3 linked regions of the Coturnix japonica genome follow. The protein of the gene in region 2 interacts with the protein of the main gene of each other region in a pairwise test. Links are inferred from orthologs where the notes say so. Each region holds a gene or a part of one and is shown on either strand. Other genes may lie near its edges.

What was found.
Region 1: the proteins of BACH2 (region 2) and BATF3 interact in binary tests that used the Homo sapiens proteins (3 or more experiments, as listed by UniProt). The link is inferred for Coturnix japonica from reciprocal best matches to the Homo sapiens genes BACH2 and BATF3.
Region 3: the proteins of BACH2 (region 2) and MAFG interact in binary tests that used the Homo sapiens proteins (3 or more experiments, as listed by UniProt). The link is inferred for Coturnix japonica from reciprocal best matches to the Homo sapiens genes BACH2 and MAFG.

Annotation. Positions count from the first base shown.
Region 1 is NC_029518.1:19,237,209-19,240,954, reverse strand, and holds the start of BATF3 (basic leucine zipper transcriptional factor ATF-like 3), read right to left. Parts: upstream 2,234-3,746; 5' UTR 1,670-2,233; coding exon 1,556-1,669; intron 1,207-1,555; exon of another isoform or gene 1,176-1,206; coding exon of another isoform or gene 1,113-1,175; intron 972-1,112; coding exon 867-971; intron 1-866. UniProt on the Homo sapiens protein: AP-1 family transcription factor that controls the differentiation of CD8(+) thymic conventional dendritic cells in the immune system.
Region 2 is NC_029518.1:68,692,631-68,696,276, reverse strand, and holds part of BACH2 (transcription regulator protein BACH2), read right to left. Parts: intron 780-3,646; coding exon 1-779. UniProt on the Homo sapiens protein: Transcriptional regulator that acts as a repressor or activator. Binds to Maf recognition elements (MARE). Plays an important role in coordinating transcription activation and repression by MAFK.
Region 3 is NC_029533.1:4,419,735-4,423,480, forward strand, and holds the start of MAFG (transcription factor MafG), read left to right. Parts: upstream 1-1,260; 5' UTR 1,261-1,419; intron 1,420-1,628; exon of another isoform or gene 1,629-1,647; intron 1,648-3,021; exon of another isoform or gene 3,022-3,454; intron 3,455-3,479; exon of another isoform or gene 3,480-3,625; intron 3,626-3,650; exon of another isoform or gene 3,651-3,746. UniProt on the Homo sapiens protein: Since they lack a putative transactivation domain, the small Mafs behave as transcriptional repressors when they dimerize among themselves.

The sequences.
Region 1 (3,746 bases), about 49 Mb from region 2:
CTCAGAGGAGATGAGGGAAAAACCAAACCCCAGGCTCTCCACCTCACAGCTCCTGGCCTCTGCTGCCCCATCCTTCCAACCTAAGAGAGACAACAGGCTGTGCCTCCGGAGCTGAGCAACCAACAAAGCCACAACTGAGGCAGCACAACCAACACCTACCTACCCGCTGAGCCATTCCTGCAACTACAGAACTGTTGTGTGAGGAAACATCTTGAACTACAGAACGGCAATTCTTCTCCTCCAGCGTGTACAGTGGGGACATGATAAAACACCACTGCATTGTAATACTGAGAAGCGTTAACAGTTTCTGGAAGAATCAGATACTTTCATGGTATTCTGGAAACACCCACTGCTATTTATCAGAGCACACGAGTTCTGCAGTTAACTGCACCCAGCTCTCTTGCTTGGAGGTTCTGGAGTTCCTAAGAAGCCTTTTCAACTGGGTATTTCTGCCTCAGACCACAGCTTCAGCACTGAGTTGAGCCAGCAGCACCACTGAGCAGCATAACACCCCTCTGCATCGCCAGCTTCTCCGCAAGGCGTTCACACACTGCCATTGTGAGCGCTCCGGGTTCAGCACCAGCGCATCACAAAGGGCTTGAATTAGCCCTGAGAAGCCTGGGATCCAGCCGGCAGGTGCTCACAGGGATGGGAGCTGCCGGCACGACCGCGTACCTCCCTCCTGCCCGGTGTCGCTGATGGCAGAAACGCTTCGTCCCACCTGAGCGGAGCGTCGGGCAGCTCCTGAGCGGGCACCGGGCAGCGCCCGGCTCTCCCGCACCGACGGCAGGTCCAGGCGTGCTGGGAGCGTCCCGTTATTGGAGCGTCCGTGTCTCCACGCCCAGGAGCACCGCGTACCCGCTCACCTCGTGAAGTTTGTCCGCTTTCTGCGTTTGTTTCTTCCGACTTCTCTGTGCGGCGACTCGGTTCTTTTCTCTCCTCCTCACCTTCTTATCATCTTCTTCGTGGCTCTGGAAGGCAGAAGCAGCTCTCTAGGCATCAAGGTGCGGGCGGGCACACCGAGCCGCCGCCGGCAGCCAGCACGTAACCTCGGCAGAGCCCCCCGGCCGCCCCGCCGTGCCCTTCCCGACCCCTGCCCGTCCCTCCCCTACCTGCTGGCCGCCCTCTGCGCTCCGCGGCACCGCGCTGCCCGCGGCCGGGGCGCCGCACGACATCCCGCCGGCTGCCGCCCGCCCCGGGGCGCCGCGCTCGGCCCCGCGGCACGGAGCCGTCCCCCGCCCCGCCCCGGCACCTGGGGGCCTCCGCCGCGGCCCCCGGGGCGGAGCCGCCGGGAGCTCACGTGGCGCTCGCGGGGTCCGCGCCCCGGCCCGACCGGCCCCCGGCAGCCGGGGGGAAGCCCGCGGCCCCCGTGGCACGGCGCTGCCGGGCAGGAGCCGCCCAAAAATCCCCCGGAGAACCCCGGGGCTGGCCGCGCCCGCCGCCCCTCCGATGGTTCAAACGCCATCGTGGCCCGAGCGCTGCCTCCGAGGGGCTTTTTGCGAAACCCGCGAGGATGCCGCGCAAAAGCCGCCCGAGGGCTGCGCGGCTGACTCACCCCCGCGCACTCCTGGCCGCGGAACACGTGCGACATCGGCTTTCCAAAGCGGCACGACCTGCGGAGAATGGGCAGGAGCGCAAGGCGGGGTTCATTGGAGTGAGGACGAGGCATCTGGGCTGGGATAAAGTGATTTTCACTTTCGCTACTCGCCCGGTTCCTTTAAATAATAAGGAAATGCCGCACGTTTCTTGTAAGGGCGAAGCAAGACAATGAGCGCAGAACACGTAGTTGCCGGGACAGAAGTCTCCCTGTTGGAGCGCTCTGCCCGGAATGTTTTAGCAGCCCGAACAATGCTGCTTTTATCCTTCTGAACGCTCTTCCTACGTCGCAACTGAAGCGTATCTTCTCCCTGTGCTCTGAAGGAAGTGAATTGCTGTGTGCCCCCGCAGATACCCACAGACATCCTTTCTACAGCACCACATATTCGCGACTCACGGGGACAACGCACGTCCATGCTAAGGAACGTGCCCCTGAGCTGCTGTGCAGTCGGTCATCAACCCCAGGTATCTTCATAAATCGGCCACTTCCCTATTCTTCTCGTTTCACCCGAAGTCTGAGTCATTCAGCTTAGGTGAAGATGAAGTTGCAGGCTGCGAATGGAGTAAATATAGATCATCCTTCCAGGAAGATCTGGTTGACAGTTCACGCTGATGAAAGAAACATCGCCTTGCCTGGAGCCCACGAGTCAGACTGAGGTCAGCATCGCTGAAAGCCGGACCAGGGCTGCTCTGCAGGGCAACGCTTCACCCCACTGTGCCTCAGAGCTCCTCCTGCATTGCCTTCACCTTTCCCAGAGCTCCTTGAATCCCAGAGGACTGAGCCTCAGAGGCCTTTTCAGAGAGAGTTGGCAGATCCAATGCAGTCATAGGATGCACGTGAGGTCAAGGCATTTTGGCAAGGGTCTATTGAGCCAAAGGGTCTATTGGGGCTGTTGGTCTTTGTGGCCCTCAGCATGGGGAAGGCTTGCAGATTTGTGTCTGGAGAAGAAAAACAGCCCTTCCTACAAGTAGGGCTTCAGAATGACTCCACACAAAGCGCTCATGCTGTTACAGGAGCCATACACACGCGCCCTAGAAGCAGCTGCACAAGCAGGTGATGTAACAGAGCTAAGTCACAACGAGTTTTCCAAGAATTTATTGATATGTGTAAATTATTGGTAAGAATTCCTCCTGTATTTGTAAGGTGAGGAGGTTTACAGGACCCCGCAAGGAGTGACAGGTCACAGGGAGGTCCCCTTGGGCCTGGGTACAATCTGCTGGTGCTCAAAGTGGTAAAGGAAATGAAAAAAAAAACAAAATTTGCTTGTGGGAACAAGTCTTTAAAGCTATCTCCTGTGCTTCTGTAGAAATGCCTACACAGTAGTTCCAAGTAACACAGTAGTAAGGGCACAGTACTTCTATGCAGGAGAAAAAATGAGCTCCGAATGCAGTCTAGGTCGCTGAGCTTACGGTTTATAATCGCAACATATCAGTGACTTCTGTCTGCACCAGAACAGCCCACGCGCCTTCAGACTCAGTTGCTGAACACTTTGGCTTAGCGTGGCTCTTTTAGACACGTGGCGTATGTCACAACTGGGTCCCAGAGCACCACATGCCCGTACTTTCAAACAAACAGATGTTGGTGTCTGCATGAAGATTTCTGGGAGAGGAGTGTTTAAAAACTAAACACAGCTAAAAGCGTGCGGATACAATGCCCATGTGTGATATTTCACTGGGTATGGATGGCTCACCCATGCAAACCTCAGGCAGCACATCCTAAAAAGTGGTAAGATGCTTCATCTCACCCAAAATAACTACAGAACTCAAACTAAGTTTGCAAATATTCCCAAGCATCCTTCGCCATTGAGCTGCCTTACAAAATCCAAAGGCTATATAAAGAAAAATGACCAGACGTTTCTTGATGCAATACCAATTCAGCCCAAGTTAAAAATAAGAAGCTTGGATGTTGTGACATTTCAGTGGAAACCTGAATAGACAGCCTTCTTGCACAACACTGCTCATTTCTATGAAGTTAACTGAAGGACAAGAGGCTACTGGAAGGGGAGGGGGGGGAAAGAAGAGGAATATTTAATGTATTTCTGTTAGTGGAAACACAGATCACAGACACTGCTAATTGGAAATACCACTTGCTGTAGAAATTTTTATTTATCATTGGGAAAGCAGCTGAACGTTCAATGTTCAGCTCTTCA
Region 2 (3,646 bases):
GGGAAGCCAACCAAATCTATGCTTTTTGTTCTGTTGAAGAAAGACCGCAAGCAAGAAGGAGAAGACCCACTTTTTGGCCTGTCGATGCAAGTGGGGCTTGGCTGCTTCCTGTCCATTTCAACATCCCCTTCTTTATCCCTGATGTCAGGTTCATCTCCAGACAGGCAAAGCGTGATGCTTTCTTCATCATTCTCTTCATTCTGAGGCTCACTTTTTATCTGCCCCATAGCAAGTCCTGATTTGAGGCCATTTCCAGAACTCTCTTCACTGAATGTGCTTGCAAAACCTGAGGTACTGATGTGTGATGTGTTGTAGACATTCTTGGTACAAGCAAGCTGGTATTTCTTGTATCTGGGGTACCGTGTTACTGCATCTTTGTCCAAATTGTCCTTGCTGTCTCTCAGCATGTCAGAGTTGGGCAGAATCCCTTCTCCTTTGTCTGTGCCAGCAACGGTGGTTTCAAAATTGAAGGGCTCCTGGTGCATTCTCTCTCTTGGGCAAGATATTTTTGACGTCTCCGATTCCATTGTCTCCTCCTCATCTCCATCTGAGTTTTCCTCATCATGCATGCGCTGACAAGTGGTATCCTTTTTGCACAGGAACAGGCCATCTTCGTTGTTCAGCAGCTGAGTCTGAAGGAAGCTGAAGCAGGAGTCCTCCAAGTTGTGCATGCGCAGGAACTCAGCACAGTGGATGACCTCCTGGATGTTTTCTCTGCTGAGTAACAGCTTAGCAGTGTAGGCAAACTGTAGCAATGGACCAAATCCTCTGACAGTGACCTGTAGAAAAAAAGAGGGAAATTGCTAGCATTACCATCAGCTCTTGCTATAGTCCCAAGTCCTTCATTATGTTGTTAGATAACCTAACAGATCTAATGTTCAGAAATAAATACTGCACGGCACCAATTATTCTTCTGTCATGTCAGCAGTGATTCTGCATCCAGAAATGAACACAAATGCTTTTATTTTGCTTCTCTACATCATGTTGCTCAAATAAAGACCTGCGAACCAAGCTTCTGCTGTAATAAATGATCAAAAAACCAGACTAGTGTGCAAACTGCTAATTCTTGGATAGATCTTGTTTTCACTATGATTGCCCTGATGGAAGCTCTGGTGAACAATGATTTCAAACATAAAATGCTATTTAAACCCCAAAGGTATTTTGGAAAGGAAGCATTTAATTTTACAGACAAATTCCCTTTTTTTCCCCTGTATTTTTTGCAAGCTACTATAGTATAAATACCAGTTAAATGCTGACTGCACAGCCCTTTTCTTCATCCTATGGACTCTGTTTCTTCTCATATTGTTTCCGACTTTAGTGATTCTAAGGTACAGCTGACAGGAAAGCAATCCATACTCATAATTCAAATAATGCAAATCGCTCTAAGTCTCACCTTAGTACATAATTTTCCATCATTTTCTTCAGAGAAAGAGCAACAACTGTTTCCACGAGTTTATGGGTCTTAGTTATGCACCATTACTTGTCTTTTTTTCTCATTACACCATCTACACTATATTTACATAAAGTCATATATAAAAAATGTGCTTTCTCCCTCTAGCTCTTTTAGATGCTCTTTTAGCAAACAACTTGCTAAGCCATGTATATATACATATTGTTCATTCTCTACCATCAGTGCATTGGCACAGACTTTTCTTATATATGTTTTTTCTGCAACAGGAAAGAAACACAGATAGTTGAAAAACTCAGTGAGAGGATACCTACATGCCCGGGCTCACAACCAAGGATAACAGCATCTCCACAAGAAGGAGATTCAGTAGTTGGATCACTAAGTTGAGACTTGAAAGACCACAACTCAATTTTCTTCCAATAGAATTAACACTGCTGAGCAGTGCAGAGAGTCAGAATGATGCTGCACAGTCACTGCTAGAGCCACTCTGTGAAGGGAGACACCGAGCTTACACTGCCTGCTCCTAAATGCTATTTAATGCAAAACACATACAGACTGGAATATCACAATGCCTCTCTTGCTTGAAAATCACAATCAATATGTTAGGGAATTGCTCTGCCACAAAAAAGTTTGTATTTCCTCCTGCATGGAGGAGCAGCAGAGGATGGTTTTGAGTCCACTGTTCCAAAGCACAGTGAGGCATCAGGGCATGCATTTCTGATGGTCTTATTTCACAAACAGTAAAAATCTAAGTGAATAATTAGGTTCATTCAAATGAAAAGCCTATAAATTTCTTACATTGCCTGAGGACCAGTGGTAGGGCTCACAGATCTTTACAGAAAATCCTGACATCCAGAAACAAGCCTTTGTTATTCACACATCTGCACTTGTGATGCTGGATTATGAAGACACCACAAATGGTGTAGACTTTGATGGAGAGAAAAATATTTTAAAACACTTCTAAAATCGCTCCCAATAGCTCTTCCTTACATAATATTACTGCACTATTTATCTGCTATTTTAAGAAACAGCACATTTTCATGCACACACTTACACACTTGCACATTTCTGTCTTACAATATGCCTCTGGTTCAGAACTGCCTAGATTTACAGCTGGCTATTAAACTGATCTCTGTCTTATCAGTGTTACACTTTCTGCCTATTTGTTAGATTATCAGCTCACTAAAGGCCTATCTGCATTTTATCTATGCAGTATGATTAACAAAATTGCTCAGAAACTTAATGAGCTACTCACAGCATTTCTTTGATAAGATCTTCAGTGTTATTATGCATTTCATAAGCTCAGCAGCAGTGTGGGTCCCTAGGAGCAGCCATAAATACCAGCTGGGGTTTTCAGGTCCCTTTTGCATAGCAGGGACTGCGGAGCACAAAGCCAGTTCTCCTGGCTGTGGTGTCCCTTAGCCACTAGGTGGAATGACTGCAAAGCAAATTAAAAGCATTTTCTGTTCAGGGCCAGGGTTTCACCTGCCTCCCCTGGCTGCAGAGCCCGAGGGTGACTCACAGCACTCCAGAGCAAGGCCATCTCTGTGCTGACTCAGGCTTTCGCTCCCAATAAGGCAGCATGGAACAGGAGCAGGACAGATTTACAGCTGTTCTGTGCTGAGTGCATTAGTGACGGAGCACGAGAACACATATATTAGCCTCCCTGCAATGCTCTGCAGACCTCCCAGGTGTAGGAGGATGAGGATGCTGGTCCAGCATGTACCTTCATTCTGGCTGCTGAGATCTTACTCAGTGACACAACTCTCCTCATTCCAACAGAACCAGAGGAGGAAGGATTCCTTCCAAGCACCAGTGCTTCTCATTGCCCTTGGGGGGGAATTTCTCAAGTGCCAACACTTGAAACTACCCAAGCAATAACTCTGATAGTAAATGCTTCTAAAGGTCACTGGTAAGCACTGAAGTCAGCACAATCTCTGTAGACTGAAGCTAAGTATTGATCTGGCCTCCATGGCGGGTCCCCATCACAGCCCCTCAGCCTTACAACTGCCCACGTTTGGTACTTTTGCCAGGAGAGCATCATCTGAGGTGTGGGTATGCAGCAATAGCCTCCACACATTTGCAGGAGAGACTTCAAAGCTGCAGAGCTCACAGTCACACATCTCTGACGGAGGAGGCGAGAGCAGAATTTAATATGATTTGACCTGACTGATGCATCCCAGTGAAAACAATGAACGAAACCAAGTTGATCTATGTTACAGAAAGGAAATAGACCAT
Region 3 (3,746 bases), on a different chromosome or scaffold from region 2:
CAGTTGGTAGCAGAATCTTTAAGAACTTTCCAACTGCTTTTCAGTCTCAAAGGTTTGAGTCAGGTCTGGATCCCTCTTTCCCCATCTTCCATCTGCTTTCAGAGCTCATCTCTTGTTTTTTCTTAGCTAGAGCAGCTGCTGTCACACCAATGCAGTGCTGTGCGCTGAGGCTGGGTTCTAATATGCTTCTCACCAGGGACCAAAGTGCCTCTGCCTCATTTCCCATCCGCTTTGACTTTAAATAGAGGGTCAATGTGAACCCCTCAGCCACACTGATTCATTCAGGGTGCATTCTTGGCAGTCATCCCCACAACAGCAGCTTTCTATGGCTTCTTTATAGCCACCATCCCCATAGAGTTCCCTCTTCTTCCAGAGCCCTGTCCTGGACCAGGAAGCAGCACCCAATGTTCACACTGCCCCGGTAGCTGCTGCTGGGCTGCAGTGGGAGCTGTGGGCTGGGGAGGATGGAAGGGATTTGGGTGGATCTCAGTGTCGTCCTGTTCTACCTTGATGTACACTGAGGTTCCTCCTTAGGAACCCAGAGCGTCTATGTGTGTGGTGCAAGAAAAGCATTTGGGGATCAATGCAGAGAACTCCACAGGTGCTGGCAGTGTCAGTGCGGTGCTGTGTCAGTTGGTACTGGGACAAGGCCGTGTAGGTGTGACGTGGCTGCTGCTCTTTCTGCTCCTTGAATAAACCATTCCTCTATCGGACCCGTGGCGGCTCCTGGTTGTGTTGGGTGGACGCAGCTCCGTGTCCCCGCCGTCCCACAGCCCGGCACTGAGCGCTCACCCGGCCCAGCTCCATTGTCCCCTCAGTCCTGCAGTGGTTGGAGCTGCGGACGCCCCAGAGCCGTGTCTGTACAAATGAGAACTGACGGGGCCGAAGTGGGGCGGTAACAAAGGCCCGACGGCAGCGGAGCTCCCATTGCTGCCCATTACTATCCATTGCTATCCAATGCTGCCCATTACTATCCATTGCTGCCCATTACTATCCATTGCTGCCCATTGCTATCTATTACTGCCCATTGCTATCCATTGCTGCCCATTGCTATCTATTACTGCCCATTGCTATCCATTGCTGCCCATTGCTATCCATCGCGCTTTGCTCGGTGCTGCCGCCCTGCTGGGCTCACACCGCGGCCGTTCCCATCCCCGCGGTCCCTTTAAGTCCCGGTCCCGTTCCATTCCTGGTCCCGCCCCGTTTCCCGCCCTCCCGGCGCGTCCCCTTTAAGGCGCGGGGCGGTTGCGCCGGGCGCTTCATGAATGGAGCCACGTGACCCAAACATCACGTGACGCGTCCGTGAGCGGCGGCGGCTCGCGGTCCCGGTCCCGGTTCGTGCAGCGCGGCCTGCCCGCCCCGCCCCGCCCCGCCCGGTCCAACGGCTCCGTCAGGACGTGACCGCAGCGAGCGCGGCCGGTGAGGGGCGGGCGGCGGCGGCGGCACCGAAGGGAGGAGGCGCGGCGCGGGCGGCGGGCGCGGCCCTGGCACCGGGCGGGGCGAGGCGGGGCGGCGAGGCGCGGCGGCCGGTCCCCGGGGGCGGGGCGGGAGCGGCCGGCGCTGACTCACGGCGGGGGCTCCGTGGCCGCCGGTCACCGCCCGGTTGGCGGCGCGCACGGCCCGGTCCCCGCCGCGGCCGAGCAACAGGTGCGCGGGGCCCCGCCGCTCCGCCCGCCCCGCCCCGCACCGGGTCCGCCCGGCGCTCAGCCCCCGCTCGGTCACACGGTGTCCCGGTGCCCGGTGGAGCTGGCCAGGCCGGAGGCGCAGCGCGGCGCTTCCCGACGGTTCACCCGCCGCGGGGCTCGGGCCGCTCCGCTCCTCCCGGCATCGCCGTGGGGTCACCGGGATCCCGCGGGACGGGCGGCGGCGGAGCCGCTTTAACGGGGGAAAGTGCGGGGTGTGTGAGCGGCGGGACGGGCCGCGTGGGGTCAGGGGAACAAAATAACAACACGGATAAACGGGAACGGGATCCCGCACCGGGGGGGGAGGGGAAGGAGAGCTCCGCGCCACGGCGACGTCACCGTGTTTACAGTGCGCGCGTGGCGAGGCGCCGCGATGGGGAACGGGAGGGAACCGGGAGAGAACGGGGAGAGAACGGGGAAACGGCTCCGCGCCGGGGGGGAATTGGCTGCGGCCGTGCTGAGCTCAGGGCTTTTGAGCGCCGGGCAATGTGTTGAGGCGGCATTTTGTTGCTGCAGTCAAAGCGTTGGGCACTTTGCAGTGCGATCTGCGGGAGCCTCTAAAAAGCCGAGCAATGAACGGGCTGCACAGCCGGGATGAGGCTGGTTCGGTGTGTGCCCCCGGCTCAGCTGCTGCCCCCCTCACACATAACAGCCCCGTGCTGTCCGTGCTCTGCTGTGTCTCTGGAAGGGGATGGAGGGTCCAAACTGGTGCTGCGTTCAGGCACAGCCCCGTCCCAGAGCCGCCCCCAGCACACAACATGCACTGTCCAGTTCCTCGGATACAGACACTGCAGCCTCGTGTCCCACAGCAGCGATGCTGTGGCTCAGGATGGGGAGCACTCCCTGACCCCCATCACAGCTCTGTGTCCCTGCACTCATCCCAGCCGTGTCCCCCCATCAAGCTCCTCTCATTTCTGTTCTCTCTCAGCACAGCAGCCCTGGTTGACCCGTCCTTTAGTGCCTCTATCTGTGCGTTTATCAATTTCTCTCAGCAGAAATGACAGTATGAGGTGCAAGGTGAGCACAGGCTCTGAGCTCAGGGCTGTGTGAGTTTCCTGCCCTGCACCCTGAGCTGCTCTACCTGTGCCCAGCCCCATCCAGTGTTTGTTTTTCCCAGCTCTGCTACAATGAAGGAAGTTTGAGTGTTTCCCGGTAGCAGGGAACCATTCAGCCCTGCAGGCACACATTACTGCAGCCATACTGACCCCAGCGTGCGGTCAGAGGGTTCCTCAGGGCCGGTGTTATGCCTCCCCCCAGTTATTCTCTTCCATCTGCCCCTTTTTCCAGCAGCCATTTTGTTTGTTAGGGTGGGGGGGGGGGGGAGGAAACAGAGCAAAGAAAGAGAAATAACAGCACGGGAAAGCACAGAACTGGTTGCAGGAGGCTGCAGTCTGCATGTGCTCCCCTCAATGCAGCCGCCTCCCTCGGTGGCAAAGTGACCCTTACGGCCACGCTGTCGGGTTGTCACGGCCGTCATGCTGCAAGGAACATTGTCCTCTGGGTATAAATAGCTGCCTCCTGGCAGGCTCCGGCCTTGGGGGAACATCTGAATTGTGCTGGTGTGCTCCGTGTCCTGCAGGACGCTGATCCCGCTCACCTCTAGCAGTCAGCGCCGGGCGCATTGCGGGAGCCTGAGCTGCAGCTGCTGGAGGAGCAGAAAGCCGTATTTGCTGACTGTACAGCTGGGTCTTGGCTGCAGCTCTGCCTCTTACGTCTAGCAAACAAAAGAGCAGCGAACGGAATTGCTGTTGGCTGGCACGGAAGGTACAAAGGTACTCATGGACTGCACCTGCACACAGACAGTGCTGGCCTTGCTGCAGGAAGCAGTGCCGGGCTGTGTGGGACAGACGTGGCTGCTGAGGATTCAGTTTGTTGGGGTGCAGTGGAATTCTGACCCGAGGTGTGAGGGGAGGAGGTGCATAGGGACAGGAGCAGGAGCCCAGGTATGTCTCTGTATGAAGACAGCCCCAGGAGCTGCTGTTATAGACCTGGAATGCTGTCCTCCCTGGCAGTGAAGGAGTCTGCTCCCCTCTGGTTTTGGCCTCCCTCGATCTTTGTTTTCTT